4 linked regions of the Yarrowia lipolytica genome follow. The protein of the gene in region 2 purifies or fractionates together with the protein of the main gene of each other region. This does not show direct contact. Links are inferred from orthologs where the notes say so. Each region holds a gene or a part of one and is shown on either strand. Other genes may lie near its edges. The genes, in order: YALI1_D35575g, YALI1_E14644g, YALI1_D33229g and YALI1_D17899g.

Region 1 (6,648 bases), on a different chromosome or scaffold from region 2:
AGTGGCAGCCCGGTGGAGACTCTGCTCAAGATCCAGAGGCTCTGTGGGCTCTGTGGGCTCTGTGGGCTCTGTAGGCTCTGTGAGCTCTGTGGGTTCTGTCTCTGTGGGTCCAGAAGTGTCTGTTCGATCAGTATCGCTGTTGGAAAACGAGGCCGAAGAGATGCCTTCCGAGATAGTGGCTGGGTGTTTCAACGAACCAGGAACAGGCTCTGGAGCTGCCGTGCTCGCACGTTGTCTTCTGTTCACCTCAGGGTCATTCTCATCATCGAAGCTGCCCATCTCATGTAAGTGATCCGCCGAAGGTGATCTGAATGGTGGGCCCTCCGAGGGCGATCTGCCGTGCTTGCTGTCGCCACCCTGTTTAGAGTCGTTCAGAGCAAGGTAGTCCGGCTCACCATCCCCGCCTTCCTCCTGGCCCCAGGATGGCGACGAAGAGGGAGAAATGACGGGGGATGTCAGGAGCTCTTCGGGCACGTCTGCGTCGGTCTCGAACACAAAGAAGACTTCTCCTCCATCGCCCACCTTCATGGGCAGCTCGGTCTTGGTGCCATTGACACAGAACTCGACCTTTTTCTGGGACGGTCGCAGCAGGGAAAAGATTCCAAACCGCACATGGAAAGGAGAGCAGTTTAGTTCACCTGGGTTAGTGTGTGGATATGGTGGTTATGGGGATGAGGTGTTACGCCACCACGTTGTGTTCATGTGTTGAGTGTTTCGAGTGAGTGGGAAGTAGTTGACAGGAAACCCGAAACAAGCTGGTTGCTCCAGTTGTATTGGCCTCTTACAACTTTGTCCATATGACATAACAACTGTGAATCATACTGTTGCCACCTGGGCACGATTACAGTCATGGTGTACAACATGTGGTCACATCATACGGACCATGATAGTTACAAGAGTGGTGTAACTGCCAGCTAGAAGTAACAACTGTAAGGCCACTTGCACCCACTCTCTGTTCCCAAAGTCCACTTCTCTATCACCCTCTCAACTTGCATCCTGTAAGTCACCGTCGGTCACTGCATCAGCTCCACTTCTCCAACAGCCTCTTGATGGCCATACTCACCGTCTTCCCGCTCGACCACAATGATGTCAATTGCACCACTGAGTGTTGCAGGGTTGATGGAGTTCCAGGTCTTGGAAACGGTTCCAATGGCTCGCCCAACGTACTGCATCGTGTGGTTGTGTGGTGATGATCTGTTGGGCACCTTCACAGAGTTCGGTATACATACAGATATGCAGCAAGTACAAGGAGGGGTTTGCTGTTCCAATCGATGTGATCACGTGGGGAGTGGATGAAAAGTGCCGACTAGCACACAGAAATACAGCCTGAAAAGCAAACAAACATGGCTGGAATCATGGTTCAAAATCACCAGCCCTGGGCCCAACAATTATACAAAATTCATCACCGTTACTTGGCCTAAATGGGGCGGCCTGTGTGTGTGGAACCTTGTCTCCGAGGCTCGGGAAAACGACTCAAGCGAAAATACGAGGGGGGGTGCACAACTGAGGTGAGAGTGAGGCCACAACAGCTTCTCATGCCAGATGTAGATGTAATATTGGGCAAATAACCGAATTTTTTAGTCATCGGAGATGTGCAAGGGTAGATTATGTCACTAACAGCTCTCCAATCACAGTTCTACCTCGGCTTGTTTTTGGCACCTTAGTAGTTCGATGTTCAAGTATAGCCGGCTGGGCCTAAATGCTCTTGGCCACAGTGGGTAGTGCGTGTAACAACACAAATACATACATAATATGGGCGCAGTACGTACTTGTACGTACCATGCCGATAGAGACTATTTCACATCATAAAGACTGTTTTTGGACATGTAATGTGGATGTCTTGCAAGCCTCTCTGTCTATCTGAAACTTGCTTGCTGTCTCCTGCCCAAGACCGTCAATAACCAGACACCACCACCCCTGCAAATGTAAGCTTCCCCACCTTGTAGGGCTAGGGTCTGCTGGCACTTAACGGTCCGGATTTGGGTTCGATGATGTAAGCTGAAGAGCACGAAGGGGGCGATGAAGAGTTCACCCAGAACTTTGTACTGAGACGGTGGCGAACTCAGAAATCCAGACTTGTTTACGTAACCAACACTGAAACGACCCATGTGTATAAACTATCCTATTAGCTTATTTCGGACTACTCCTTCTGCGGGCGGTCCTCAGTCAGACATTTACTGGCCATTTCTGCAAGTACGACACATCGCATGTCCCAAATCGGAATATCCTAAACTCAAAACCCGTTACTAAGCAACCTCTCAATTACCTGCTCCAACTCCAAGGTCCTCCCTCGTGCATGTCTCAGGACTGTGGCAAAAAAATTCCTCGAAAAGTTAAGCTTCGAGGTCATTTTTGTTGCACGTGAGGGCCATAAAGGACCCGCAATCTACGAAAATATAGAGATAGAGAGGAGTTTTTGTGGGATAAATTCAATGAAAATAATATATTGACAATACTGAACACTTTGTCACCCCTCTCTGGCCGTCACAACGCCTGTGCATCATTTTATGGAATTCTGCCCACCTTGCATAATCAGAATTAGGCTTTGAAAAGTTTGTGCGTACAGTAGCTAACCTTTGGAGGCTCTGATAATTCTCACCACTCAGTCCATCTCAAGCTCATCTCAACGCTTTCTACCGTTTCGCTACAGAAGAACAAAAAGAAGAGATACACAGAAACGATGGAAAGTCCAGTAGCATTGGAGTCGAGAGGGCTCTCGTTGAAGAGAAAGAGGGTGGATTCGCCCCAAGTGATGGCTTTAAAGAAACCAAGGGATGAGGGAGGAGTGCTTCCTCAGGATGATGGCAAACTGACTACTTGTCCAGAAACAGGTGACCTATCTGCAGGCGTTTACAAGGCGTTCGTTAAGAATGCCCTAGATGAAGTTGAAAAGGTGAGTTATGCTGTCTTTCCCATTTATACATCCCCCCTTACGAACCGTCGTCTTCGCCTCTCATGTTCTCTTTTTCTAACCTAGCAAAACTACAGCCCACTCGGCAAGTTGACCGACCAGATTACTAAAAAGGCCGACTCGCCCGACGCGCTGTCCAACGACCAGCTCACACACATGATCCAGGCGCTGTCCATTGAAATCAGCCGGCTGGACTCCCCACGATGCTCCAAGCTCATCAACGGCGTGGTGCGTCTACATCTCGAAAAACGACAGCCGTCCCAGGCGCTTACAGACACATACTACCGGTTTCTCGCAGTGCTCGTCTCCGCCGTGCCACGATGGTGGTCCGACGTTGCGACTCAACTGGTGGCCGACTTCACTCTAGACGATGCCTCTGCCCAGCATTCAGCACTGCGATACATGATCAGCATTACACCCACGTCAGCTACTCTGCTGCAAGGAATGCTGCTCGATGCCTTCCCCAATAAAATGGATACCACCGCGCGACTGTGCAACTTCATTCGGAACGCCCTCATCACCACCGAGTACTGTCCTGCGCTAAGAAATGCAGTGTGGGGCATGGTTGTGGAAAAGAGTGTGCAGATTGACGTGGAACTGCAAGACGAACTGGACGAGATGGATGAAGAAGAGCTGTTTGACGCTGGTCTTCTCGACGCTGAGGACCCCGAAGTGGTAGATCTTGATGACGCCACTGATATCAAAGAGGGAGAAGAAGACGGTAACGACGGACTGGCTCTGGGAGACTCAGATGATGAACTCGACGATGACGATGACGATCATATCGAAGTCAACGATGCCTCGTCTGTCGGAGAGCTCCTGGCCAAGCTCGACGGAATCGTGTCTCTTCTTCTCATGCATGTTGGAGGAAAGTTCAACGATGGCCCCGAGGAAATCACCACGGAAACAGTGTCCATGTATGCATCTCTCATCAACGTGTTCAAGACGTATCTTCTGCCTACGCACAGAACCCGTTTTGTGCAATACATTGTCTTCCAGGCGTCGCAAGCATGTCCTGAGTTCATGGACGCCTTTCTTGCTTCTCTCATCGAGATCACTCTGTCGTCTGGAGAAGGCATGGACAAGCGGTCCAAGGCCATGCAATACATTGCATCTTACATTGCACGGGCTAAACATCTCTCCAAGGCCCAGATTGTATTTGTGGTGAGCATGCTGACCGGCTGGATCGACAGATATGTGTCTGAACGAGAAGCCGAAGTCAACGGCGTGCCTGGCTCCATGGAGCGATTCAAGACATTTTACTCTGTCGTCCAAGGTCTCATGTACATCTTTTGTTTCAGAAACGAGATGCTGCGACTGGACTCTGATGCTCCCGAGGGCGACTCAGTTTGGGAGTGCAAGCTCGACAAGTTCTTCCAGCGAATCATCATGACCAAGTTCAACCCTCTGCAATACTGCAACCATTCCGTGGTCGCCATGTTCGCCAAGATTGCCCATCACCACGATGCAGCCTACTGCTTTACTATCATCGACGAGAACAAGCGAGGCATCGTGCGAAAGGATCTGCATGATAAGAAGGATAAGACCATGGCCCCCCGTGCCTTCATGGAGGGAGCTGCCACTCTGTTTGATGGTCCCCAGAAGGAGTTTACTCAACTCGAGGGCTACTTCCCCTTCGATCCTCTTCTTCTCAAACGGTCCAGAAGTGTTCTCGGAGACCTCTACATTGAATGGAGTGAAGTTGCTGAGGACCTTGACTCGGACAGTGAAGATGGAGACGAGAGTGACGGAGGAGACCATGAAGATGACATGGAGGAGGACGTGGAGGATGATGACGAGTAAAGTGCCGATAACCAACCCAATGCATCTCAGCAAGATGTTCACCTGCATCACTCTACATCTTGCTAACATTATAGACGGTCCACACCAGGTCCACTTTTTTTAAACTAAGCTGCTATCCAAGCAGAATACATTGATGTTATAACGATAGTATGTACAGTAGTTCGCGAGTATGAGTAGTAGCACAAGATAAGGGTGAAGTATCGTACAAAACAGCACAGCAGAACATAGCATCAACAAGTCATCATCGAACTTCCCGCCATAAACAAAACAACAGAGCGCAGCGCAAACGACACCACCTGTTATACTCCACTTTAGTCCTCCACTCATAAATCTCAACGCATGCGATACTCTACCTGTGTCATATCCACAGCATATCCGAACATGGGCGTTCTGCCATCTTCTCAAATCGTAAGTCATTAGTCTATAATCTGGGGTATGCATGGTGGCTGGTGTGCTCAGATAAGATGTCAATAACAGAAGACGCACACCATCCATGAAGCTGCCCCCACACAGTTCGTGTCGTTATTTCTCGCTGTTCTTCGTTGTAAGTCGCCTTCATCCCTTCTCTATCTCCGCTGAAACTTCTTGAGCACAATCTTTCGTCCTCCAAGACCCAAACCTCCCATGGGTGGCGCGTAGGTAAGGAAGTTGCCGATCCAGAAGAGCTTCTGTGCAAGACTGGTGCCGCGGGGATCGGCCGGACCGAAAACGGTCCGTAAAAAATGCAATAGAGTGATCCAGTCGTTAGTCGTGAGTGTCGGTAGCATGATGTAGAGTCTAGGCACAGGTATGTACAAGTACGCACTGTACCTTGGTTGTAGCACTATCCAGTGATCGGAACCTTAACTGAATATGTTTAGTTGATATGTGAAACCTCTTCTCGTACTTGTACAGAGACCTGGGACTTGACATTATAAACAACACCAATATCTTGCAATACCTTTTTTCTCTAATATTAATGCAATTATCCTAAATTTTACTTTATCCCCCAGTAACCTCTCGTTACTTTCTCTCCTTTATCAACTTCATCAATGCAACCTCCTCCTGAGACGGTTCACTGACGTGCTCCTCCTTCCACCGTCTCTTGAACTGTTCAGCCTCCTCTTCGTACCGCTTGGCCTGGATTCTGTATTCCTCCGTCTTCTTAGCGTTGAGAGCCTTGATTTCGTTCGTCTGGTCAATGTATGGCTGCTTCTCCGAGTCGGGCAGATCTCGCCACATTTTACCCAGAGCAGAACGAACCTCGTTACGAGCAGCTCGCATAGTAGGCTCACCAGAAGATTCTTGTTTCTTCTTATCGCAGATGGCTCGACACTTGTCCCAAAAGTCCTTCTGGAAAATGAGGAAGGGGTTCGCACCAGCTCTCTCGGGCTTAATGGGCCGCTCGCCAATCTCAGCAACCATCTCGTCTCTCATAATCTCATTGGATTTGGACACACGCTCGTCACGTAGCTCCTTGAGCCGCGTCTGGTTAGTGTCTTGCTCCACAGCCTTCTTCTTGACGTCCACGGGTGGCGAAGGCTCCGCTGGACGTTTCTTCTTGGCCATCACGGGCTGAGGCAGATGAACAGCAGGTGCATGTGGAGCCATGGACTCCTCCTCAACAAGCATAGGCTGAGAGCCATACGCAGGTTGGCCGTAAATGGACATTCTGTGAGGACCACCCATCGCCATCTGCTGCGGCTGCTGCTGCTGGCCGGGGGTCTGGTGATGCTGCATGAACGACCGACGGAAACCAGCCATTTTATGAGGCACGAGGGGATGAGGCATCTCAATCTCGCCAATCAGCGAGTCCAGAATCTCAGACGCTGCCCTCAAAGAAGACAGGTACGCTCCATGAACAGTGGACGGATGAGTACGGCAAGTAGCTTCACCAGCAAAGAAAATGTCATGATGGACAGGTCGAGCCAGGAGATCGAAATCTGCACCAGTGG
Region 2 (8,634 bases):
GAGGCTATATAAGATAAGAGGGGTCTCGGTGGGCTGATTCTGAGTATCGCAATATCACCAGCATGACCTTCCAGGACGCAAAGGACATCTACAACAACCGTCTGCAAAAGTCAATTGAGGAGGTGGACAAGTATTTCCCCGGAAGCCACAAACCCCTGCCCGATACTATCCCTTCCAACGTCAGACCACTGCTCAAGCTGCTCCATGACGAAGACTACGAGGTTGTGACGCTAGGAGGAATCGAACTGCTCGATAAACTGGCCAAGGGCGAATGGTCTGCCGTTCGAGTCACGGGTGCGTACATTCGAGCTGCCGTGTTGGCCCACAAGCTGGTCAACTGCGCGACCGAATTCCTTGCAGAGCGGGCCTACAACCGAGCCAAGTTCCTCGATGAACATCTGGCCCAAAAGGGGCCCGTTGGACCCTTCCACGGCTTGCCTTTCTCCGTCAAAGAGCTGCTGGGCGTCAAGGGACATATCTCCACCTGTGAAAACTCCTTCTTTCTGGACTCGGAGCCCATGGAAAAGGATCTGGTGCTGATCCAGCAGCTGGAGAGCCAGGGGGGTACCATATTTGTGCGAACAAACGGCCCGCAGCTCTGTAATTCTCTCGACAGTTACTCTCCTGTCCACGGTTCCACTCTCAACCCTTATAATACTTCTCTGACCACTGGAGGCTCTTCTTCCGGAGAAGGAGCTCTGGCGGCCTTTGGAGCGAGTATCATTGGTCTGGGAACCGACATTGGAGGCTCCATTCGAGCTCCTTCTTCTTTCTGTGGAATCTACGGTCTCAAGCCCACCAGGGGACGTCTTTCGATGCTCAATTGTGTGGGGTCCAACCCAGGAAACGACTTCATCAAGGCCGTTGTAGGTCCCATGTCTCGAGACCTGCGTCTGATTGATTTGTTCATGGAGAATATCATCAAGCAAAAGCCGTGGAAGGACGATGTTTCCTTGGAGGCTGTGCCTTGGGAGATTGTGTCTTCCATCCAGCCCAAGAAGCTGACTCTGGGATACACCACCTTTGACGGGGTGGCCCATCCTCATCCCCCTATTGTACATGCAATTGAAGAGCTGGTCAAGAAGTACGATGGAAAGACTGTGGACGGAGTGGAAATCACTTTCAAGAAGTACACCCCTGTCATTCCTGAAGATATTATCCACATGCTCATTGGAATGTTCATGCCCGACGCTGGAGAGCGAATCAAAAAGTGGTCCGAGAAGTTTGGAGAGCCCTTGGATGACCCTGGCCCGGAGGTCAAGGCTCTGGCCAAGAAGCTGGAAATTAGCGATGTCTTTGCCCTCAACACCAAGCGAGACAAGTATAGACAGACCGTGTGGGAGGACTGGAAGAAGCAGGGGATCGATGCGGTGATTTATCCGGTATACATTTCGCCCTCGTCTGTGATCCGAACACCCAATTATGGATTGTACACCATGCTGTGGAACGTGGTGGACTACCCGGGAGTGACTCTTCCTCTAACCAAGATGGACGCCAAGAAGGACTACGGTCCTACTCCTGAGCCTGCCAATGACATGGACAAGAAGTTCCTGGGCATGTACGAGCCGGAGAAGTTCGACAATGCTCCCATTGGAGTTCAGATTATCGGCCCTCGGTTTGAGGAGCCTCTGCTGCTCAAGGTGGCTCAGCTTCTCCAGGGCACTGTTCAGCCTTTGGGCGAGTAGGTATTTTGACCACAATTGATGTTATTGAACAGGAACTTTTTTAAAAGTAGTGATTACTGTAGCGACAGGTACATACTGTGATACAGTGACAGGTGGTGTTTGAGAGTCGGCACTGTAGTCAGATCACTATGTACACTACGTAGTAGAACTATCACGACCATGCCAGTACTACCATAAATGTTTTTTTATTTTATTTGATTTTACAGTGATCAATAGATGGTCTTCAAGAGCATGTAAAGCCTGTAATTACAAGTAAACCACCACCAGAGACTGTCACGGCCTAGGAACGGCTCCGTTGGCAACAAGCAAAGTTCACACGACGTAGGAGGTGAGCAATCACCTCTTCGACACGGTTTCAGGTAGGGGCTTCAAAATGAGAAGAAAAAAACTGAGAGCGAAAAAAGAATCAATATCATCCCAAATCCCACAACAATGCCACCCCGCCCACGGCACATGGCACGGTACAGCACCCACCAGCACTTCTACACAGTACAGTGTGTGCATTTGGATGCGATGTGTCTCCTACCACGCGTATTAGACTTTTTCAAAAACAATTTGCAGCTTAATTTGCAACCTGGTCATGCACCTTTTCGAGAGGGGGCCAAAAAGAAGTAAGCCCAATATGCGACGGCGGCAACTCTGTGGAATAATGAAAATTCAAACACAAGTATGTTTGCTGATTTCTAAGCCGTTTGTGTCTTTGTCTTCTCAATTGCTCACCTTGTTCACCCTTTATCAAAGGGCTCAGTCTCCGACTGCACCCCCAACCCCGAACTCTAACACGCGTCGGGGCTGGTAACGCGTTTTTTCACCTTGATGCGTCTCAATTAGGCTCTTTTGGGTTATCAAATTGAGACCCGTCTTTTACTCTTAACACATTACACACTAGACACATTACACAGCATGTCGCGACGAAACGCTCTGGCGGCCCTCAAGGCGGCTCGAGCCGGTGAGAAGCGAGAACTCACCTTCAACGCCGAAGACGTGTACGACGAGCTCGACGAAACCGAGTTCAAGCAGCACCGAAAACAAGAGCTGCTCCAGGACGACTTTGTGGTGGGAGATAACGGAGAGGGGTACGCAGACACGGGCGCGTACGAGTGGGAGGATACGGGCAAGCGGTACGGCTCCAGCGACGAGGACGGCTCGCCCAAGAGCAAGCGGGCCAAGAAAAACAGCGACGTGATCAAGAACCGCAAGCTCAACTTCAAGGCGCTGGCGTCCAAGCCTGTCAAGACGGAGACGGCGGCGTCAGCAGTGGCAGACGACTTCATGGACGACTTGATTGGCGTGATTGGCGGCTCCGGGCCCAAAAGCGCCGACAAGAAGAAACCCATGAACCGCAAGTCGCGATCCGCCCGGGCCAAGGAGGAGGAAGACGTGTTTGTGGACATGGACTACAGCTACGACATGGCCAGTCCGGAGCACGTTTCGTCTTCTCCCCCCGCGGAGATTGTGCATGCTGTCAGAGAAGAGGCCATTGCTGACGGCATGGATTTTGCTGATGACATGGACATTGATATGGGCGAGCCCGACATTCCTGACAAAGTGCCTCAATCGGAGTCAGACGACGATGAGGACGAGGTTGTGGTTCGACCCAAGGCCGGCCAGGCTGCAGCTGCAGTCAACATGCGCGGCCAGAAGCCGGTGGTTGCAGTCAAGAAGGAGATTGTCAAGACGGAGCCAGTCAAGAAGGAGCTGGTAAAGGAGGACATCGAAGAGCCCGAACTGGTTCCCGATATCACCAGTAACATCCAGCTTGCGACTTCAAAGGCTGGATCTGCTGATACTGCCAAGATCTCTGTGGAGCCCAACGAGGTGACCACCGAGGACGGCAAGTTCAAGTTCTTCTGGATGGAACACGCCATTGTGCGAGACACACTCTATCTGTTTGGAAAGACCATGGTGCTGACCGGCAAGAACAAGGGCCAGTTTGTATCGTGTCTCATCAAGGTTGCAAGCACCCAACGACAGATGTTTGTGCTGCCCAAAAACGAGTATAGCACTTCTGACGTGCACGAGGAGCTCGATGGAATTATGGAGGCCCGAGGTATTCGAATGCGAGCCAAGCCTGTCACTAAAAAGTACTGTTTCCATCTGCCTGGTGTCCCTGCCGAGGCCGAGTACCTGGAGGTGCTGTACTCCCCTCCCAAGGAGAAGTTCGACGTTCCTTCTTCTGGAGCTACCTTCTCCCACGTGTTTGGAGCCAATCAGTCGCTGTTTGAGCAGTTTGTGCTCTCTCATCAGGTCATGGGTCCATGCTGGATGCAGATTGATGAGCCTGACTTCGCCTCGGCTGGTCAGGGACGTATTTCGCACACTGGAATCGAGATCACCGCTAAGTCGTCGGCCAAGATTTCTGTCTGTTCCAACCAGGAAGCTCCCATGCCTCCAATTTCGATGATCTCTCTGGCTGTGCGAACCATGACCGAGGGCAAGTCTCAGTCTGTGGTTGCCGTGACTCTCCGAATGTTCCAGGACATGCCTCACGATACCACATCCAAGCTCGGCGAGCTGCAGCACCGATCTATGACCTTCTTCCGGTACCCCAGTAAGGTTGCACCTGTTGGCTTCAAGCAGATTCTGCAGGAACACAATGCTGGCACTGCTGTGGACAAGATCATTCCATGCAATTCTGAACTGGACATTTTGAGCCATATGGTGCGGCTTATTGCGCGTGTTGACCCCGATCTCATCTGCGGCCATCGTCTGGAAGCTCTGCATCTGGATGTTCTGCTGCACCGACTCAAGGAACTCAATGTCAAGGACTGGTCTTCCATGGGCCGACTTCGACGAACACAATGGCCCCACATGAACTACGGAGTTCTTGACGGCCGGCTTATTCTCGATATGGACAACTCTTACGGTCGGTCTGTGGTGCAAGGATGTCAGTCGTTTGATCTGACTGAAATGTCGCTCAACACTCTGGGCATCAAGCGGATGGACATTGAGCTAGATGCTGCTCATAGCAAGATGGTCAGCTCTGCCCGGCCTTTGCTTAGCTATCTCATGCACTGCATCCAGGACACGGGCCTTGTTGCCGGCATTGTGATCCAGACCCAGGCCATTCCTCTGTCCAAGCAGCTCACCAACCTGGCCGGAAACGCCTGGAACAAGACTCTGGCTGGTACCCGATCTGGCCGAAACGAGTCCATTCTCTTGCACGAGTTCACTCGTCAGGGCTACATTATTCCCGACAAGGAAGCCGGTCGAGGCACCAACAAGCGAGGCAAGGCCAAATTCCAGGGAGGTCTGGTTCTGGACCCCGTTAAGGGCCTGTACGACCGCCACGTGCTCGTCATGGACTTCAACTCACTGTACCCTTCCATTATTCAGGAGTACAACATTTGCTTCTCGACTGTGGACTGGGCGTCTATCCCCGACGACCAGATTGAGCCTCCTGCTCAGCCCGAACCCTCCGTGGAGCAGGGCATTCTCCCTCGACTCATTAGGACTCTTGTGCAGCGAAGACGGGAGGTCAAGCGACTCATCAAGGACCCCAAGGCGTCTGCTGCCCAGAAGAAGCAGTGGGACGTGAAGCAGATGGCGCTCAAGCTGACTGCCAACTCCATGTACGGTTGTCTGGGTTTTGAGGGCTCTCGTTTCTACGCCAAGCCTCTGGCCAACCTCACCACCTCCATCGGTCGAGACACTCTTCGAGCCACCAAGGAGCTTGCCGAGGCCGAGTCCCTGCAGGTTGTCTACGGTGACACTGATTCTGTCATGATCAACACCAACACAGACACCTACAAGGACGCCATCAAGGTTGGTAACGACTTCAAGAAGAAGGTCAACGGTCTTTACAAGCAGCTTGAGATTGATATCGACGGTGTTTTTGCTCGTCTTCTGCTCACCAACAAGAAGAAGTACGCTGCTCGTCTGGCTACTGAGGAGGGCATGGGCAAGATTGAGGTCAAGGGTCTGGATCTGAGACGACGAGAGACGTGCCAGATTTCCAAGGACGCTTGTACCTATGTGTTGGAGCAAGTTCTGGGTCCCGACGACCAGGAGACTGCGCTGAACAATGTCCACGAATACCTTTTTGAGCTGGCTGAGAAGCTACGATCTGGGCCCGTCAAGGACGAGTCAGCTCCTTTCCCCGTGGAGCACTATGCGATTCTCAAGCAGCTCGGAAAGGACCCTAAGGCCTACAACCCTCCCATCCAGCCCTTTGTGGCTGTGGCTCTTCGACGTTTGGAGCGAGGAGAGGTGATTCGAGAGGGCGACGTTATGTCGTTTGTCATCACCACTGTGGGCTCCGACGAGTCTGCCAAGGCCCAGACCACTATGGATGTCAAGCTTTCTCGAGGCAAGCTTCAGCCGGATGCCGAGTACTACATTTCCAAACAGCTGTACCCTCAGATCGAGCGACTCCTCGCTCATGTGACCGGTACTGATCCTGTCCGACTTGGAGAGGTGCTTGGCATCGAGATCAAGAAGGCCCACCAGTCTCACGAGTCCCGAGAGCTGCTCCATCCGCTGGAGTCTACCATCTCCGATGCTGAGCGGTTCAAGGATGCGGTTAAGCTGGAGCTGACTTGTGAGTGTGGCCACTCTTTTGCCTACGAGGGAGTCAAGCAGAACACCACCGAGCACGGTATTATCTGTCCCTCTTGCTCCACAATGTTCCCTCTCACACGGCTGTGTGCCCAGTTGGAGACATCAATTCGACGACACATTTCCAAGTACTACGAGACTTGGTACACGTGTTCAGATTCCGCCTGTGGTATTCGAACCGCCCAGCTGACCAACTTTGGAAAGCGATGCATGGGTTCCGATGGCCGCTTCAACACTTGCAATCGGGGCACTCTGGACTATGAGTACAACGATCAGGACCTGTACCGACAACTGTTGTACTTCGACACTCTGTTCAACATGGACAAAGCAGCTCAGGAAAATGATAAGGATATGAAGCTGGCTGTTCTGGCTGGTCAGAACCGGGAGCGGTTCGTGTACCCTCGCCAGGTGGTGGACAAGTATCTCAAGGACTCTGGACGAGCCTTTGTGGATATGGCTGCAATTTTCGGTTAATGTGGAGGAGATATTTATGTATACTAATGGACTTATTGATTATGACTGTTGTATTGTAGTTTGGTATGAATAATTGTGCGTGTACTAGTACTTGTAGAGGTATTTGTCTGGGTTCATGGGGTATTGGCTAATGCAGTACAGCACGAGCACGAGTACAACAAATTATCATACCGTACTCGCTTGTACTTGTACGTACCGTGCAGGATTGTCCTAGCTAATTAGGTAGACTTCACAACGAAGTATCGTAACTATGAACACACAGAATTAGTTGACATACAACCAAAGTGGTGCTTTTTACAGCCAAATGTGCTCTATTACCAATAAAATCAGAAGCGGGATATTTTTGGTTTCCATTACAATACAGACTCTCCCATTGACCCAGTCTACGGTCATCCTCCCTCACGTTTTCAGCTGGTCACCAGTTAAAGTTCGGAGGTTTGTGTGGTCCCAACCTATCGTGCCCTAACCCCGAGTTGGGAGGGCCAATCACCGTGGGTCAATATCTGCACATACTACTGGAATTTCTGAACAGTGATCAAGCACGGAACGACAAAAGAGTGAGTATTGAGAAGGATGAAAGCGTTACGGGAAACGAAGTGGATGTGGTGCTAAGATGAAGCGACGATACACGACATGATGTAACGGGAAGAAACGACTCGTGATCGATACATGACGGCGGAGGAGTTATGTTGTCATGGAGCATCACGAACCATGGGAGATGGGTCGGAACGGCAAAGACGAAGTGAATGGTGGATTGTGGAAGGTGTTAATGATCGATTATCGGTTGGTGTCAGAGTGCCCAAGTTGTTTAAACACAACATTTGTTTTACTGATCAATGTGAGAATGCAAGGGAAAGACTACAATAACTACGGAGACATGCAACTTTGGCATAATTGATGGGCTGTTGTTGTTTTTGATTGTTGTTGCATATGGAGAGAGCTATTTCTTGCTGTTTATCACTGTAGCTCATTCGTTTCTCCACTTGTCTTGCTCACTTCTCCGAAACACCTGATTCATGTGCATCAGACACCTTTCATGACCTGTTCTAGATGTGCGTATACAAACAGTTCACATGTCTTTGATACATATGCTCACCTTCTCACCCTCCAATGGGTCCTGCTTGTAGGGTTGTTCGTGATCTTTAACTACTTATCCATTTTCATACTAACCCAGTGTCTGAACACGTTCACCTTCCCTCGCCGACATTCAACACCAGCTCTGCTGGCCACTTTCACCCCTACAACACCCTGGGACTGGCCACCCAGAGCGCCATGGTTGGTCTTGGTGCTGGTGTCGTTGCCGCCGCCGCGCGAAACAGTTTAGCCACAGGCCCCCGAAACATCCTGACCACCTTCTCTAAGTCTGGAGGAGTCGTCACCATCTTCACCGGCGCGTCTATCGCCTACGTGTTCACTTACTGCTCTGCTGCCAACCTGCGAGAGCGAAAGGACGGCTGGAACCACATGTGGGCCGGTGCTGCCACCGGTGCCGTACTTGGAGCCAGAACTAAGCTAGTCCCCGCATTTATCGGCTGGACGGTGCTTTGCGGAGCTGCCTGCGGTCTGTTTGGCTGGACCGGCGCCCGATTCAACGCCGACCGAAAGGCTTCTCTGGAGCAGTCTCCCAAGGGCTTCGTTCAGGAGGATGCTCACCAAACTTTCTGGGAGGTTGTCCACCGACGACCCTTGTCCCTGACCGTGGAGCAGCTTGGTGAGGGCCGAGGAATTAACGCCGTGCCCATTGCCACTGCCACCGAGGCCCCCAACTAGCATAATAGATGATTGAGTAACGCTGAGAAAGAGATTCGCGTAATAGAGACGCACGAGACCCATGAAGGCTATTGGTTTGGGGTGTAGTATAAGAGACAAGCTGTCAACAGAGAACATAGTGATTGAACAGAGACCATATCGTATACAA
Region 3 (6,125 bases), on a different chromosome or scaffold from region 2:
GGTTAATGATGCGAATGCCCGTTTCATTGCTGAAACCGCTCTGCCGTCCCACACTCAGCCCTGCATCGTAGAGTTGTCAGCTAGCGCATTTACTGTTCGAAAAGAGATTCTTTGTTGCTTATGTAAGCGATAACGGGGCCACCCCGCGGTCATCGCGATGTGCAATCAGATTATTCCACGTTGTAGCGTTTCAGGCTGCTTATGTTGATGTCTTCCGTTAATCTAACTAAATTCAAGTAATGATTCTTATATTGAACCCCCAGGAAACGAAGATATCTCTACTTTTCGGTATGTAAAGTACTACTTAGTAATGAAGACTCATAACACCTCCAGTTCACTCTACAAATTTATAGCCCCTTCATAGATCCAACGACTTTGGAACACTGAATAATACCCCCCTGGTTTTGTTCTTCTCAACTAAAATGCTAATTAAATCATCGTCAGACTTTGGACATCTCTCAGGGCACTTTCAATTCACTACTAGCTGAATATTGTACTATCTACTGCTTCCAAAAGTACCGGCACTCACCTTCTATCTCCTTAAATCACCTCTACAACCACCTCAAATCTCCACGTAAACCAACATCCCAATGTCAACTAAATCCCTCCCCTTCGGTTGACAATTCTGTTAGCTTCATACTTCAGCACGCCACCCGAGGACAGCTTCATCTAACTCCACGCTCAGACCTCCTAAAGGGCCAATTCTTGGACTGTGTCATTATCTACGTTCCCCAAACCCATCTACCAACTCTTCCTTCCTTTTATCCCCATCATCATGCCATCTAGTCCATTCAAATACCCACCCATCTTCCACTTGTCCTACCCTAACCCTAATCCCTCACCTTAATGCCCAACACATCACCACTTACTTTATCTCACCACTACACTACCATGTCCGATACAATTGAGGCCGATGTGCCATTAACAGGAGGCCGAGCGCCGTCACATGCGGCGCCTCCGGTTGCGGCGGCAACCGTACAGCCGGATTTGGAGCGGAATGCGGCGCCCCAAGCTGGAGTTGGAATGACGCTCTGGCAACGTCTGTCCGAATCTTCTCATCCGGTGGCTCTCGTCTTTTTTCTAGCCTTCCGACTAGGAGCGCTCTTCACCTACATGTTTGGTCTGCTGTTTACAGACAAGTTTGTGCTCATGTTTGTGTTGGTTGTTCTGCTTCTGGCAGCCGACTTTTGGAACGTCAAAAACATTGCCGGACGGCTCATGGTGGGCCTGAGATGGTGGAACGAGGCGTCGGAGACGGGCGAGTCCGTGTGGGTGTTCGAGACGGCCGATCCCCAGCGGTACATAAATCCCATTGACTCCAAGGTCTTTTGGATGATGCTGTATGGCGCCCCTGTCTTGTGGGTGTGTTTGGCGGTTCTGGCGCTGCTCAAGTTCCAGTTTCTGTCTCTGATTCTGGTCTTTATTGCTGTGTCTCTGACCGTCACTAACGCCATGGCCTACTCTCGATGTGACAAGTTTGGCAAGGCCAATAACATTGTTGGCCAGGTCAGCGGCGGTCTCTTGTCTAGAGCTGCCAGAGGTACCTTCCTTGGGCGGTTCATGTAACTGATGCGGGTTTCCGCGGTGAATTCCACCCGCCACTGTCAAAGATATATATATTAATGAATTACGACTGGAAACGAATGCTCAGAGGCTTTGGCACTCAAAAAAAACAATAAATTCCTATATACAATGCGATTTTGGAAGGTACCGCTGCTATAGTGACAAGCTCCCGGTCTGTTACTCATCCTTCCGGAGGTCGTTAGCAACAGCCTGGTTGATCTTCTGATGCTCCTTGAGCACCAGAGCCTGGGCCTCCCGCTCAATGTCGCCCTGCTCGTTGAAATAGTCGGTGATCTTCATACCGCCGTAGGCCAAGATGCCAGTAAAAGCCGCAGCGATGATTCGTTGCGATGGGGGGATCTGCATCCACCGCTGGTAGAGGGACACTGCGTTAGTACGGAAATGAGCACTGAGGGGTGGAATACTGGAGGACTGTTCCAGATTTGGTCCGGTTACGCTTCGTTAACGACGGAATGGCCCATTCTGCCAGCTCCAGCTATATGGTCCTTTCCAGTTTCCCGTCAGTCTAGTAGAATCAGGTCCATCTCGACTATGGAGCTTTGGACAGACCGGAGCAGTTCAGAATAGTGAGGCAGCCAGCAGAAGAGGAACAGCAGAAGAGGAACATCAGGATCAAACTGAGTCTGAATTCTGCCCACGAGATACGTGGCTCAAGTTAAGTTCTGTCTGTTCTGTCTGTTCTGTCTGTTCTGATGCCCTACCACGGTACAGCCATGTCAGAGTCGATTAATCGGCCCAGATGTGCAAGTGGAAAGCAACTGTTGATAATGCACACGTACTCAACTTAGAGATGTACACATACTCATTCACACTTACTCAGTCACACGTCATCAGTCGTATTCAGTCTGTCTTTTCATCTTGACTTCAGTTCACTCTCTCTCAATACACAGAGATACCGTTCCTTCTGCGTGACTTCTATATCACATCTCCTCGTCTTCTCCCCTTCTCCCCTCCTTTCCCCTTCTCCCCTCCTCTCCCCTCCTCGCCTTGTCACACTCACTGTTTGCGTCGCTAGTTTGCGTCTGGTGAACCAATTGACGCTTCCACTTCCCTGCTTCACTTGGGGAGGTTGGGATATTCAGGGTTAGGGTTTTTCATTAAGTGCATATTTAGTACATAACTAGCAAGGAGTGTAGATGGAAGTAACAATAATGAGGACCCAGTGTAGAATGGCTTGGGGCGGAGATATCGTCAAAATGATACTTTCACGTGACTCCCTAACGCCTATTACCCCTCAATCCGCCTCCAAACTTGGAATTTGGTGGACCCTCGGGGCTACAGCGATACCCCGCTTCTCTTGTCCTCTCCCCCATCCTCCTCCCTCCTCTTCTTAGGTCACGTGACCACGCGTTTAACTTTCTGGCAGAGTCCAAATCACCATACATACATTACCGGCACGTCGAAGCGCCATCGTCATCGTTCACACATTTACAGCACAGTACGCAAAAAAAAACACGATGTCTACGACTGAATTCGACGGCATCTATCTCAATCAGAGCAAGGCGCACGGCCGTCTGCGGATGGTTGAGACGGGCCTGGGCTGGAAGGCAGTGCAGAAGACGTCAATGGGCGGATCGAAGGAGACCAAGAAGGACGAGCCGTTTCTACTTGGAAAGGAGGAGCTGCTGGCGGCGTTTTGGAGTCGGGGCTCTCGGGGATTCGAGATGAAGATCCAGACGAAAAACCGCGGGGCCGCCAACTTTGACGGGTTTGAACAGGACAACCTGGAGGAGCTGAAGAACGTGATGAAGCGCAACTATGGCATTTCAGTGGAGCAGCGCGAGCACAGCGTCAAGGGTTGGAACTGGGGCAAGACGGACTTTGAGCGATCCGAGCTGGTTTTTTCCGTCGCCAACAAGCCCGCATTCGAGATCCCCTACGCCGAAGTGGCCAACTCCAACCTGGTGGGCAAAAATGAGGTTGCTCTGGAGTTCCAGCAGCCCGCCGATGGACGGGCAGGCGACGAGCTCGTCGAAATGCGATTCTACGTGCCCGGAGTAACTTCTGTGGAAGGTGATGAGAACCCCAAGAAGAAGCAGAAGACGGAGAAGAAGGAGGGAGAAGAAGGCAAGGAAGGAGACGACGACGCCGACGCCGACGACGAATCAGAAGAGGAGGTCCAGTCCACCGCCCAGATCTTCTACGACACCCTCAAGGAAAAGGCCGACATTGGAGCCGTGGCAGGTACGGCTGTGGTGTCTTTGTCGGAGATCTACCTGGTCATCCCCCGAGGACGATACGATATCGACATGTACGCCAACTTCATGCGACTTCGAGGAAAAACATACGATTACATGGTGCAGTACAAGCACGTGCAGCGGCTCATTGTGCTGCCCAAGCCCGACGATCTGCACAACATTCTCGTGGTGCAGCTGGATCCTCCTCTCAGACAGGGCCAGACTCGGTACCCGTTTCTGGTGATGCAATTCCTGCGTGAGGCCGAAATCAAAGTCGAGCTCAATGTCGACGACGCCGAGTTTGCCGAAAAGTACGCCGACAAGGGTCTCAAGCAGTCGTACGACGAGTCTGCTCACCAGGTGGTTGGATCTATTTTCCGCGGTCTCACTGGCCGAAAACTGACCGTGCCAGGCTCGTTCAAGACCGTGCATGGCCATGCTGGTGTCTCCTGTTCGCTCAAGGCGTCTGAGGGCCATCTATACCCCCTGGAACGAAATTTCCTGTTTCTTTCCAAGCCCGTTTTCATTCCCTTTGCCGAGATTCAAGATATCACTCTGTCTCGAGTGGGTTCTTCGGTAACCACCTCTCGAACGTTTGACATGACTCTCAAGCTGCGAAACGCCCAGGGTGAGTACCAGTTCTCCAACATCTCCAAGGAAGAGCAGGAGGGTCTCGAGGCGTTCATCAAGTCCAAGGGCATTCGTCTTAAGAATGATCTTGCTGAGGAGAAGGCGCTGCTGGCTGCCACTCTGGCTGAGGTGGACGATGACTCTGATGATGGAGGAGAGTTTCGAGGCTCGGCTGATGAGGATGACGAGAGTCCTGATGAGGACTTTCATGCCGAGAGTGATAGTGAGGTGGCGGAGGAGTTTGACTCGAATGCCGAGAGCAGTTCGGGAGAGGAGGATGACGAGTGATTCCGGCGCGGCTTCGCGCGTCGCGGGAAATTGCTTGTTGGGTAACAATAGCAGCTCCGGACGAAGCAAACTCGTATCTGATTCGAGACAGATTCAAGAGTGCAAAAGTCTCACAAGGAATTTGCTACTGGTAGATATATGAATTAATGTTGATTAGGTGGATGTATTTGAATGGGACACATTCAGTTGGTAAGAATGTATTATCTGAGCTGCTCTGGAGTCTTGAGTGACAGATATTTTGTTTGAATTGGACCATTGTTAGTGTACTGTGCATTTCTGGAGCTCTGAAGTAACTATTACTTGAGGCCCACTCCAAAGTCAACAAAATCAGCACTCGTATTTCGCGTTGAAATGTGGATATCTCAAATATCTGTACTGCCAATATCTTGAAGATGAATATTAGTTGATTAGTTGATGCTTTTAAACCAATTCACACAAGTCTTGCGATTTCATTGGTCCCGTGACACCGAGAAGTGACCCACAGCGGGAATTCCTTTCAACAAATGTCAACAAAATCTGTTAACAAATCCGTCAGCCAAACAGAGTCCACACATCTATCGTCTGAGAGACCTCTCACGACACTGAAACACATCACCAGACCCTGTATCTCGGGAGGCGAACACCCTGAAATCGGAAACAGTGGAATCTCGGGTACTTCCAGCTATTTAGAATGCTCAGAGTTGCACATTGAGTAACTGCCCTGTGATGGCACGCACGGGGAGGTCTGTCGGAACTGTATAGGACATTGAAGTTCTTGTACTAGTAAATGTCGATTTATGAAGAATCAATCGTCTTGATGTGTCACGTGACCAGTCTATCTGAGCCTTTGGATAAATTTCTGTCCCTGGAATGTTCTCTGAGGTCTAGAGTATATGTCCTCAATTTAGACGGGGTAATACGCATTGTTAAGAAGAGACCGAAACGGGTCAGAATGCGATCCAATGGTTAGAGAAAGCGCAAATAATGATCGTTTTTCATTTCTGACGATTAAGTGGTTACTCGTGGGATTTTTGGAGTGCTTTGAAGAACAATTATCATGACGTCACCATCAATAATCATGCTCGTATTCGTATTCGTACTCGTATTCGTATTCGTATAGTTGTACCTCTAATATGCACAATTATATTCCATCGGCTTTGCGAGTGGCGCCTCAGTAGTTACAAGTACTTGTGAGCAGTACTTTGACCTTGGAAATCGTTGGCTCGTGACCATAGCACGTCTGATTACCTAATCAAGTCCAATCAATCTGGTGTCTAGTATACAGTAGATGCAAGTGTCATGACGTTCCCCAGATACAAAGTTCCCTTCTTCTGTGTCAGGCAGGTGGAACTCTGGCAGCGATTTGTCCGGTTGAGTATAGACGCGGTGGTACAGTGGAACTACTGAATAGAACCGTTGGTTGGAGTCCTTAATAAATGCTCCGCAAGTCCCATAGCTACACTTGAA
Region 4 (7,636 bases), on a different chromosome or scaffold from region 2:
TAAACAGAATCTCAGTGCAAGATTCCAGTATGGTACTCGTACGACTGCAGTATTATTAGCACTACGGGGGTCTACATCAGTACATCTACAGTCCCACCTACCTTGGGACACCACGACACTACGCTCGGAGCGGTGATAAGTGTGTCTCGTGTGTCTAGCACTATGATCATACAATACGTATCTAACACCCGTCACAAGCGGTTATAGGCCGTCGCGGTAGCTGGCGCCTTCGCTCATATCCTCATGTCCCCCTCTCTCTAACAGCACGAGCTGCTCTTCTTGTCCGAATCTCCAGGCTGGGGAGTCAGAGAAATGGTGGTGCCCTGCTGGGGCTTTCGGGAGTCCTCCAGGTTGGCGTGGACATTCTCGGCAGCAGAGACCCGGTGGTAGATTTCAGTGAGAATGTTTCGGAACGCCAGGGCAACGTCAGTGCCGTCCAGGGCTGAGGTCTCGATGAACAGCAGCTTGTTCTGGGAAGCAAACTGCTTGGCCTCCTCGGTGGGCACGGCCCGAAGGTGCTTAAGATCGCACTTGTTGCCGACCAGCATCAGCACAATGTTGGAGTCGGCGTGATCCTGCAGCTCCTGAAGCCACCTGCTGATGTTCTTGTACGACTGGGTCGAGGTCACGTCATAGAGCAGCAGCGCTCCCACGGCGCCTCGGTAGTAGGCCGAGGTGATGGCTCGGTATCGCTCCTGGCCGGCCGTGTCCCAGATCTGCGCCTTGATGATCTTGTTATCAATGTTGACGGTCCGGGTGGCAAACTCCACTCCGATAGTCGATTTGCTGTCCAGGTTGAACTCGTCTCGTGTGAACCGGCCGAGAATGTTGGTCTTTCCGACGCCGGAATCACCAATCATTACCACTGAGTTAATATGCGACCAAGTCGAATCACGGACCCTCTGCATTGCTTCGCGTCTTTTGTCTGACTTGCTGGCTCCGTCGTGTCTGCGTGTTTGTGTCTCCACCAGTCGTGTCGTGTCCACGGTGTCCGTCGCGTGTGCATGTGGGCAACCAGACGTCCCCCGGAGCTCCCTCTTCATCTGCCACCTCCTAGCCTTTCTCTAGCGCACTCACCCTTGAAAAGAAAATCGTACTCGTCACTCATGATGGTCTGTGTTGTGTGTGTTGGGTGTGATGTAATGTCTAATGTGTGGTGGTGACTTTCTAAGTTGCATCCTAATGGGTGGTCGTGTCATGTGGGAGAAGACAGACAGGGAGACCGACAGAGACCGGGTCTGGCGCGCCCAAGTCCAGAAACCCAGTAGACTAGACTTTTAAGGGTGGAACAGGTCTCTTATATAAGTTGCGGCCCACCACTCGCCCCATGTCGTGACACTCCCTCATCTCGTCTATATAAACGTCTGCCCTCCTTCCTAATTTTTTCCCGCTCTCTCAATCTCCCACCCTTTGTTACAACTCCACACGCCGTACATTTCAGCATGGCGTTTTTCAAGCATGGTCCCAGCTATCAAGTACAAGTACGCACAACTCAGCCCCGTTGTTACAGACAGATACATGTACAAGTAGTGCCCCGCAATGAGACTGACGTGACAGAGACCGTGTACAGAGACGACAACCTCCCGGAAAAAACTCAAACACACGTTGGCATTGGCCGCTGACTAATCACAAAATACCGCATCTCGACCTGGAGACGAAAAGTTAATTCATCTGGCCGTACAAGTTTTGGGCTGCCTGTACGTACTGGCGAAATTTGTATGTAAACAGGTCGGAATGTGTGTTGAGTTGGATTTGACGAGCCCTTGTTGCATCGCCAGCTTTTCTTCACGGCCCTCTAGCACAAACTATCTGTCGTTTTGCAGGTACCATGTTGAGTTGCTACTAGTTGAGATGAGGAGTCTGACATCTCCTTTTTCTTGTTTTTTCTTGTTTTCTTCTTTTCGGGCACCAAAAGATTCCTTTCGTCCAACGTGTCTACACCCAATTTGACACCAAATGGTGCGATCCGACGCGCAACTTGCAGTTATAGAGACTATGGAGTTCTTTTTTGGTCACGTGACAGAGTATCTCGTCCTCACCGCTCTTTGACTTCTTTAGTCTTGGGCTTGACCTGAGAATGCTTACACCTACAACTCACGCAATAACGAGTGGAATTGAAATCGGAAAGCTCCATCTTGTTGACCGTGACCGGTACAATAGCTCTATCTACTTGGTTTATTTTCAACGACAGGGTGTAGCCCGTTTGGAGTGTCCTTCAAAACGGTGCCCCTTCGTTCCGCACTGAACCGCGCAAGTCACCAGGGGGTTTATTCCAAGCGTTGTACAGGTAACTGGAGTTGGGCAATGCTTCAATAAACATGACAGAAAACCAACATCCGTCTATATAACCACCTCCCCGCGCTCTTAATGGCTACATCTTCTTTTCTCGTCGCAACACACGTTCGCCTACCACTACCCTAACCCCAGCATTAGCGTTATGAATCAAACTCACCACCATCACCGTGTATTCATTATACACGACATTGCACCATGGAGGTCAAAATCTCTGAATCTGCGTTCAACACACGCGTAGAAAAGCTGCAGGGGGCGCTGAACACGCACAAAGACGCGTTTGGCGGCGCCGACTCGGTTCTGCTGCTAATTGGCAAAGGTGGAGATGACAATCCCTACATCAAGACTGCCGTGGCCCAAAACTGGCTGCTGGGCTACGAGTTTTTCTCCACAGCTCTGCTGGTGACGCCCAAGCGGGTCATTTTCGTCACAAACTCGTCCAAGGCCGTCCATCTAGAGGGTCTCAAGAAGGACGACAAGGTGGAGGTGTGGGTGCGGCCCAAGGAGGGAGGTAAGGAGGTGATGGAGAAGCTGGCCAAGGTGGCCAAGGAGGCCGGCAACAAGCTTGGCGTCGTGGTCAAGGACAAGTTCCGAGGCCCCATTGTCGACGAGTTTGAAGCTGCCCTCAAGGACAGTGGGATCGAAAAGGTCGACATTGAGGTCGGGCTGTCCCACCTGCTGGAAGCCAAGGATGACGACGAAATCAAGAGCATCCGGGTGGCGTCGCGGGCCTCCACGGCCTACCTGACAAAGTTCTTCACCGACCAGATGCTTGGTATCGTCGACGAGGAGCGGCGGCTGTCGCACTCAAAGTTCTCGGAGCAGATTGAAAACAAGCTGCAGGACGAGGGCTTCTTTGCGCAGAACCAGGTCAAGCTGGGCAGCGACTTCCACCAGACCAACCTCGAGTGGTGCTACATGCCAATCATTCAATCCGGAGGCAAGTACGATCTGCGGCCCTCGGCTGTGTCTGACGACGCAAACCTCCACGGAGGCACGATTGTGTGTACCCTGGGTACCCGATACAAGGGCTATTGCTCTAACGTGGGTCGAACCTTTATGATCAACCCCACCAAGGCCCAGGAGCAGAACTACGAAGTGCTGGTGGGCCTGCGGGAAAAGGTGTTTGACTCCATCAAGGTCGGCGCCAAGGCCTGCGACGTCTACAACGCCGCCGTCTCCTACATCAAGTCCAAGGCCCCCAAGCTCGAGGCTCACCTGCTAAAAACCATAGGCTGGAGCATTGGCATTGACTTCCGAGACGCCAAGTTCCTGCTAAACGCCAAGTGCCAGCGAGAGATTGTCGACGGCTCCACGTTTGACGTGTCGCTGGGCTTCCAGAACCTGACCAACTCGGCCGCCACCGATCCCAAGAACAAGACATACTCGCTTGCTCTGGTCGACACTGTGCGTGTCACTCGAGCAGGCGTGGCTGTTCTGACCGATTCCGCGCCCGTGGCTCTGTCGGAAGTCACCTACTTCTTTGAGGATGACGACGAGGACGCCGAGAAGGAAAAGAAGAAGAAGGAGCAGGCCAAAAAAGAGAAAAAACAGCAACAGGCGGCTGCTACCGTGTCGTCCATCACCCGGACCAAGCTGCGTCATGAGGCTCGAGCCGAAGATAACAATGACCAGAAACGAAAGGACGACCAGAAAGCCCTGCACGAAAAGCTCAACAAGGCCGGCCTGGAACGGTTCAAGAACACAGAAGGTGCTCTTAACGGCGAGGAGAAGGTGGTCATCAAGAAGTTTGAGTCGTACAAGCGAGATACTCAGCTGCCCCAGAATCTGCTCAAGGATCTGCGGGTCCACGTGGACACCCGGTCGCAGTCCATCATTCTGCCCATCAACGGCCGGCCCGTGCCCTTCCACATCAACACGTACAAGTCTGGCTCGAAAACTGACGAGGGCGACTACGTGTACATCCGGCTCAACTTGTCGTCTCCGGGCCAGATTGCAGGCTCCAAGAAGGACGCGCCCCAGGTGTTTGAGGACCCTGACGCACAGTTCCTGCGGTCCATCACGTTCCGGTCGCGGCACGTGGAGCACATGAACGATGTTTTCAAGCAGATCCAGGACCTCAAGAAGGCATCGACCAAAAAGGAGGCCGAGAAGAAGGAGATGGAGGACGTGGTGGCCCAGGATTCGCTGGTGGAGGTGCGAGCTCGACGGCCGCTCAAGCTGGACGCTGTGTTTGTGCGTCCTGCACCGGACGGAAAGCGAGTTGCAGGCACTCTGGAGATCCACCAGAACGGTCTCCGATACGTCTCGCCCATCCGGTCCGACCACAAGATTGACGTGCTGTTTGACAACATTAAGCATCTATTTTTCCAGCCTACCGAGGGCGAGCTCATTGTGTGCATTCATGCGCATCTTAAAAACCCCATCCTGATCGGCAAAAAGAAGACGTGGGACGTGCAGTTTTATCGAGAGGCCAGCGACATGGCTTTTGACGAAACTGGAAACCGGAAGCGAAAGTACCGGTACGGAGATGAGGACGAGCTGGAGGCCGAGCAGGAGGAACGAAGACGACGGCTGCAGCTCGACAAGGAGTTCAAGGCCTTCTCTGAGAAGATTTCCGAGGCGTCTGACCGAAAGGTCGATGTCGATACTCCCTTCCGAGAGCTGGGATTCCACGGTGTTCCGTTCCGCTCCAACGTTCTGCTCCAGCCCTCTGCCGACTGTCTGGTCCAGCTCATTGATACGCCCTTTTCGGTCATTACTCTGGGCGAAATCGAGCTGGCGCATCTTGAGCGAGTCCAGTTTGGTCTCAAGAACTTCGATCTGGTGTTTGTCTATAAGGACTTCAACCGGCCCGTTACACACATCAACTCGATTCCGGTGGACCAGCTGGATGCCGTCAAGGACTGGCTCAACGAGGTTGAGATTCCGTACTCTGAGGGTCCCGTCAACCTTAACTGGGGATCCATTATGAAGACCGTTGTTGCCGACCCCCAGGAGTTTTTTACTTCCGGTGGATGGTCTTTCCTGGACCTGGAGTCGGACGACGAGGATCAAGAGGAGGAGGAGTCCGAGTTTGAGGTGTCTGACGACGAGCCCGAGGACGAGGATGAGGACTCGGAGGAGTTTGCCTCTGAAGACGATTCCGAGGGCGATTTTGACTCTGAGGAGGAGAGTGGCGAGGACTGGGATGAGTTGGAGAAGCAGGCAGCTGCTGAAGATGGTGAGCCTCCCCGAAAGAAGCGCTAAGCTGGGGGAATCTATGTATGTAATAATTGATGTATGATATGGTAGCTACTTGTACTATGGCGAAGGTTGGCGACTGTGGACTACTCGATGAGACATTCTGCGCTAATCTGATACTAAATTCGACTCTCAACATCTCAATTGCTGACACACTGACACAGGCAACTATCGCCATGTCTCGATGGTACTTTACTGAATTGAGGCAGGCGGTGCGCAATCTTTGGACGCCCCAGCCACACTACACCGAGTCGGAATACCCCGACCTCACCAGTAAGACTTTTGTCATTACGGGGGGACATTCGGGTGTGGGTCTGGCCGCCACCCAGCTGCTGATAGACAAGGGAGCCAAGGTGGTTCTTGTGGGCCGCAGCCGGGAGCAGGCCAAGCACGTGCTCGACGAGCTTCCCGAGGGCACCTACGACTTTGCCGAGGCTGATCTCGCCGACCTGTCCACCATCAGATCTGCCGGTGACTACATTGTCAACCAGTACCCTGAGATCCACGGCGTCATTCTCAACGCTGGAATCGCCTTCAAGCCGTACTCTCTGACGCCCCAGGGACACGAGTACCAGTGGGGGACCAACGTTGTGGGACATCACGCGCTGATGAAATGTCTGGACCCGGCGGTCATCAAAACTGCCCACAGCTCTGCCCCGGGCTCGGTGCGAATTGTGTGGGTGTCGTCGTCAGCGGTGATCATTTCCAACGTTCCAGGCGGCATCAACTTCGACGACATGAGCTACAAGGAGAGCCAGCCCAGTGCGTTGCAGCTGTATTCGCAATCCAAGATCGGAAACGCCTACCAGGCGTATCTGTGGTCCAAGAACCACCCCGATTCAGGCGTGGTGTCGGTCTCTGTGGACCCAGGCAACCTCAAGTCCAACATTGGAAGACATACCCCCAAAACCATGACCAGGGCTTTTGAGTATCTCCTGTACCCTTCCAAGTATGGAGCATACACGGAGCTGGCAGCATTGTTGGCCCCTGGAGTTGAAGATGGCGACCATCTCATTCCGTGGGGGCTCAAGGGACATTTGCGAAACGATGTGGATGAAGGCAGAAGAGGTGACAAGGGCGAAGAGCTGTGGAAGATATTGGAGGAAAATGTTAAACAAGTGGGTATGTAAGAAGTGAATTATTGTCAGTTGAGAAGATGCTTCTGGATAGCAGGTCTTCGCCGCTGCGCCCAACTCAGCAGAGACTCCTACCGGAAATACCGGGCCAAAGATCGGTAAAAAAGAAAGAGGACGACAGGACTCGAACCCGCAGCCTTTGGAGGACGTCGTTTGCACGAAACAAACCGAAATCCAATGCGCTACCATTACGCCACGTCCTCGGATGTGGTGATTCGGGGAGTGAAGTTTGTATTTGAGCACCAAAAAAAACGAAAAAAAACGAAAAAAAACCAAGAAAAAACAACAAATGTCAAACAAAGTTAATTAGGTCTAATTAGGTCTAACTATCGGTAATCTGACTATTCTGTCTGTGCTACTCTCGTAGCGATAACATGAGTTTTCAGCTCAAGTTTCTGATTAGTCTCCTTCGGTTAATTTAAACTATCGTATTTATCATCCCGCTGCAGGAACATAATCATATTGGTTTCTTTGTCAGACTCGTTGAAAGTCCAGGTTGTTGGTATGCAAATATATAATTGTAGTACCTGGGGAGTTGGGCCAGGTCTAGCTAGTGCTAATGACCCAAAGTCACCAACGTGTCTGCAGCAAACTCCATCACATAAGGCTCGTTGTTGCTGTGCTCCATCTTCTCAATAACAGCCAAATACACCAGTCCTCTCGAGACCCTCACTCCGTCTAGATGCACACCGTAAATGGAGTCGGAAAAGGTGTTTGTCGTGGCCACCACAGTGTTGCTTTGTGCCTCTCTGATTGTCAAACGGATGAATGGTCGTGTTTTGATCATTCGTGCTGCCAAAGACAAGTGTTGTGTGGACTGCTGCACACTGAATTCCACCTGCTCCGAACAGCTATTGTAAAACTTGCTCTTGTGACTCTTGGTAAACTTGCCCGCGGTATGTCGAGCCAGCTGGGTGAGCGAAAAGTTTCCAGAGGAAAACACCCTGATGTTGTAGTCAGTCTGGGGAGCGGAATCAAAAGTGGAGATTATGAGAATCAAGTTG

Evidence for each region.
Region 1: the proteins of YALI1_E14644g (region 2) and YALI1_D35575g purify together in Saccharomyces cerevisiae (affinity purification with western blotting; 3 studies listed by BioGRID, with this or other methods). This does not show direct contact. The link is inferred for Yarrowia lipolytica from reciprocal best matches to the Saccharomyces cerevisiae genes POL1 and RRN3.
Region 3: the proteins of YALI1_E14644g (region 2) and YALI1_D33229g purify together in Saccharomyces cerevisiae (affinity purification with western blotting; 4 studies listed by BioGRID, with this or other methods). This does not show direct contact. The link is inferred for Yarrowia lipolytica from reciprocal best matches to the Saccharomyces cerevisiae genes POL1 and POB3.
Region 4: the proteins of YALI1_E14644g (region 2) and YALI1_D17899g purify together in Saccharomyces cerevisiae (affinity purification with western blotting; 4 studies listed by BioGRID, with this or other methods). This does not show direct contact. The link is inferred for Yarrowia lipolytica from reciprocal best matches to the Saccharomyces cerevisiae genes POL1 and SPT16.

What each region holds. Positions count from the first base shown.
Region 1 is NC_090773.1:3,553,793-3,560,440, reverse strand, and holds YALI1_D35575g (uncharacterized protein), read left to right. Parts: upstream 1-2,680; coding exon 2,681-2,893; intron 2,894-2,977; coding exon 2,978-4,714; downstream 4,715-6,648. Other genes in the region: YALI1_D35593g (uncharacterized protein), read right to left, coding at 1-638, 1,064-1,172; YALI1_D35509g (uncharacterized protein), read right to left, coding at 5,717-6,648. UniProt on the Saccharomyces cerevisiae protein: Required for efficient transcription initiation by RNA polymerase I. Interacts with Pol I in the absence of template DNA and stimulates recruitment of Pol I, but does not remain as part of stable preinitiation complex.
Region 2 is NC_090774.1:1,461,813-1,470,446, forward strand, and holds YALI1_E14644g (uncharacterized protein), read left to right. Parts: upstream 1-2,588; coding exon 2,589-6,716; downstream 6,717-8,634. Other genes in the region: YALI1_E14619g (uncharacterized protein), read left to right, coding at 63-1,685; YALI1_E14698g (uncharacterized protein), read left to right, coding at 7,989-8,486. UniProt on the Saccharomyces cerevisiae protein: Catalytic component of DNA polymerase alpha, which in complex with DNA primase (DNA polymerase alpha:primase) constitutes a replicative polymerase. POL1 has a role in promoting telomere replication during interaction with CDC13.
Region 3 is NC_090773.1:3,319,838-3,325,962, forward strand, and holds YALI1_D33229g (uncharacterized protein), read left to right. Parts: upstream 1-3,041; coding exon 3,042-4,679; downstream 4,680-6,125. Other genes in the region: YALI1_D33207g (uncharacterized protein), read left to right, coding at 847-1,566. UniProt on the Saccharomyces cerevisiae protein: Component of the FACT complex, a general chromatin factor that acts to reorganize nucleosomes. The FACT complex is involved in multiple processes that require DNA as a template such as mRNA elongation, DNA replication and DNA repair.
Region 4 is NC_090773.1:1,787,459-1,795,094, forward strand, and holds YALI1_D17899g (uncharacterized protein), read left to right. Parts: upstream 1-2,490; coding exon 2,491-5,502; downstream 5,503-7,636. Other genes in the region: YALI1_D17885g (uncharacterized protein), read right to left, coding at 258-1,043; YALI1_D17895g (uncharacterized protein), read left to right, coding at 2,078-2,210, 2,256-2,368; YALI1_D17930g (uncharacterized protein), read left to right, coding at 5,532-6,626; YALI1_D17970g (uncharacterized protein), read right to left, coding at 7,189-7,636. UniProt on the Saccharomyces cerevisiae protein: Component of the FACT complex, a general chromatin factor that acts to reorganize nucleosomes. The FACT complex is involved in multiple processes that require DNA as a template such as mRNA elongation, DNA replication and DNA repair.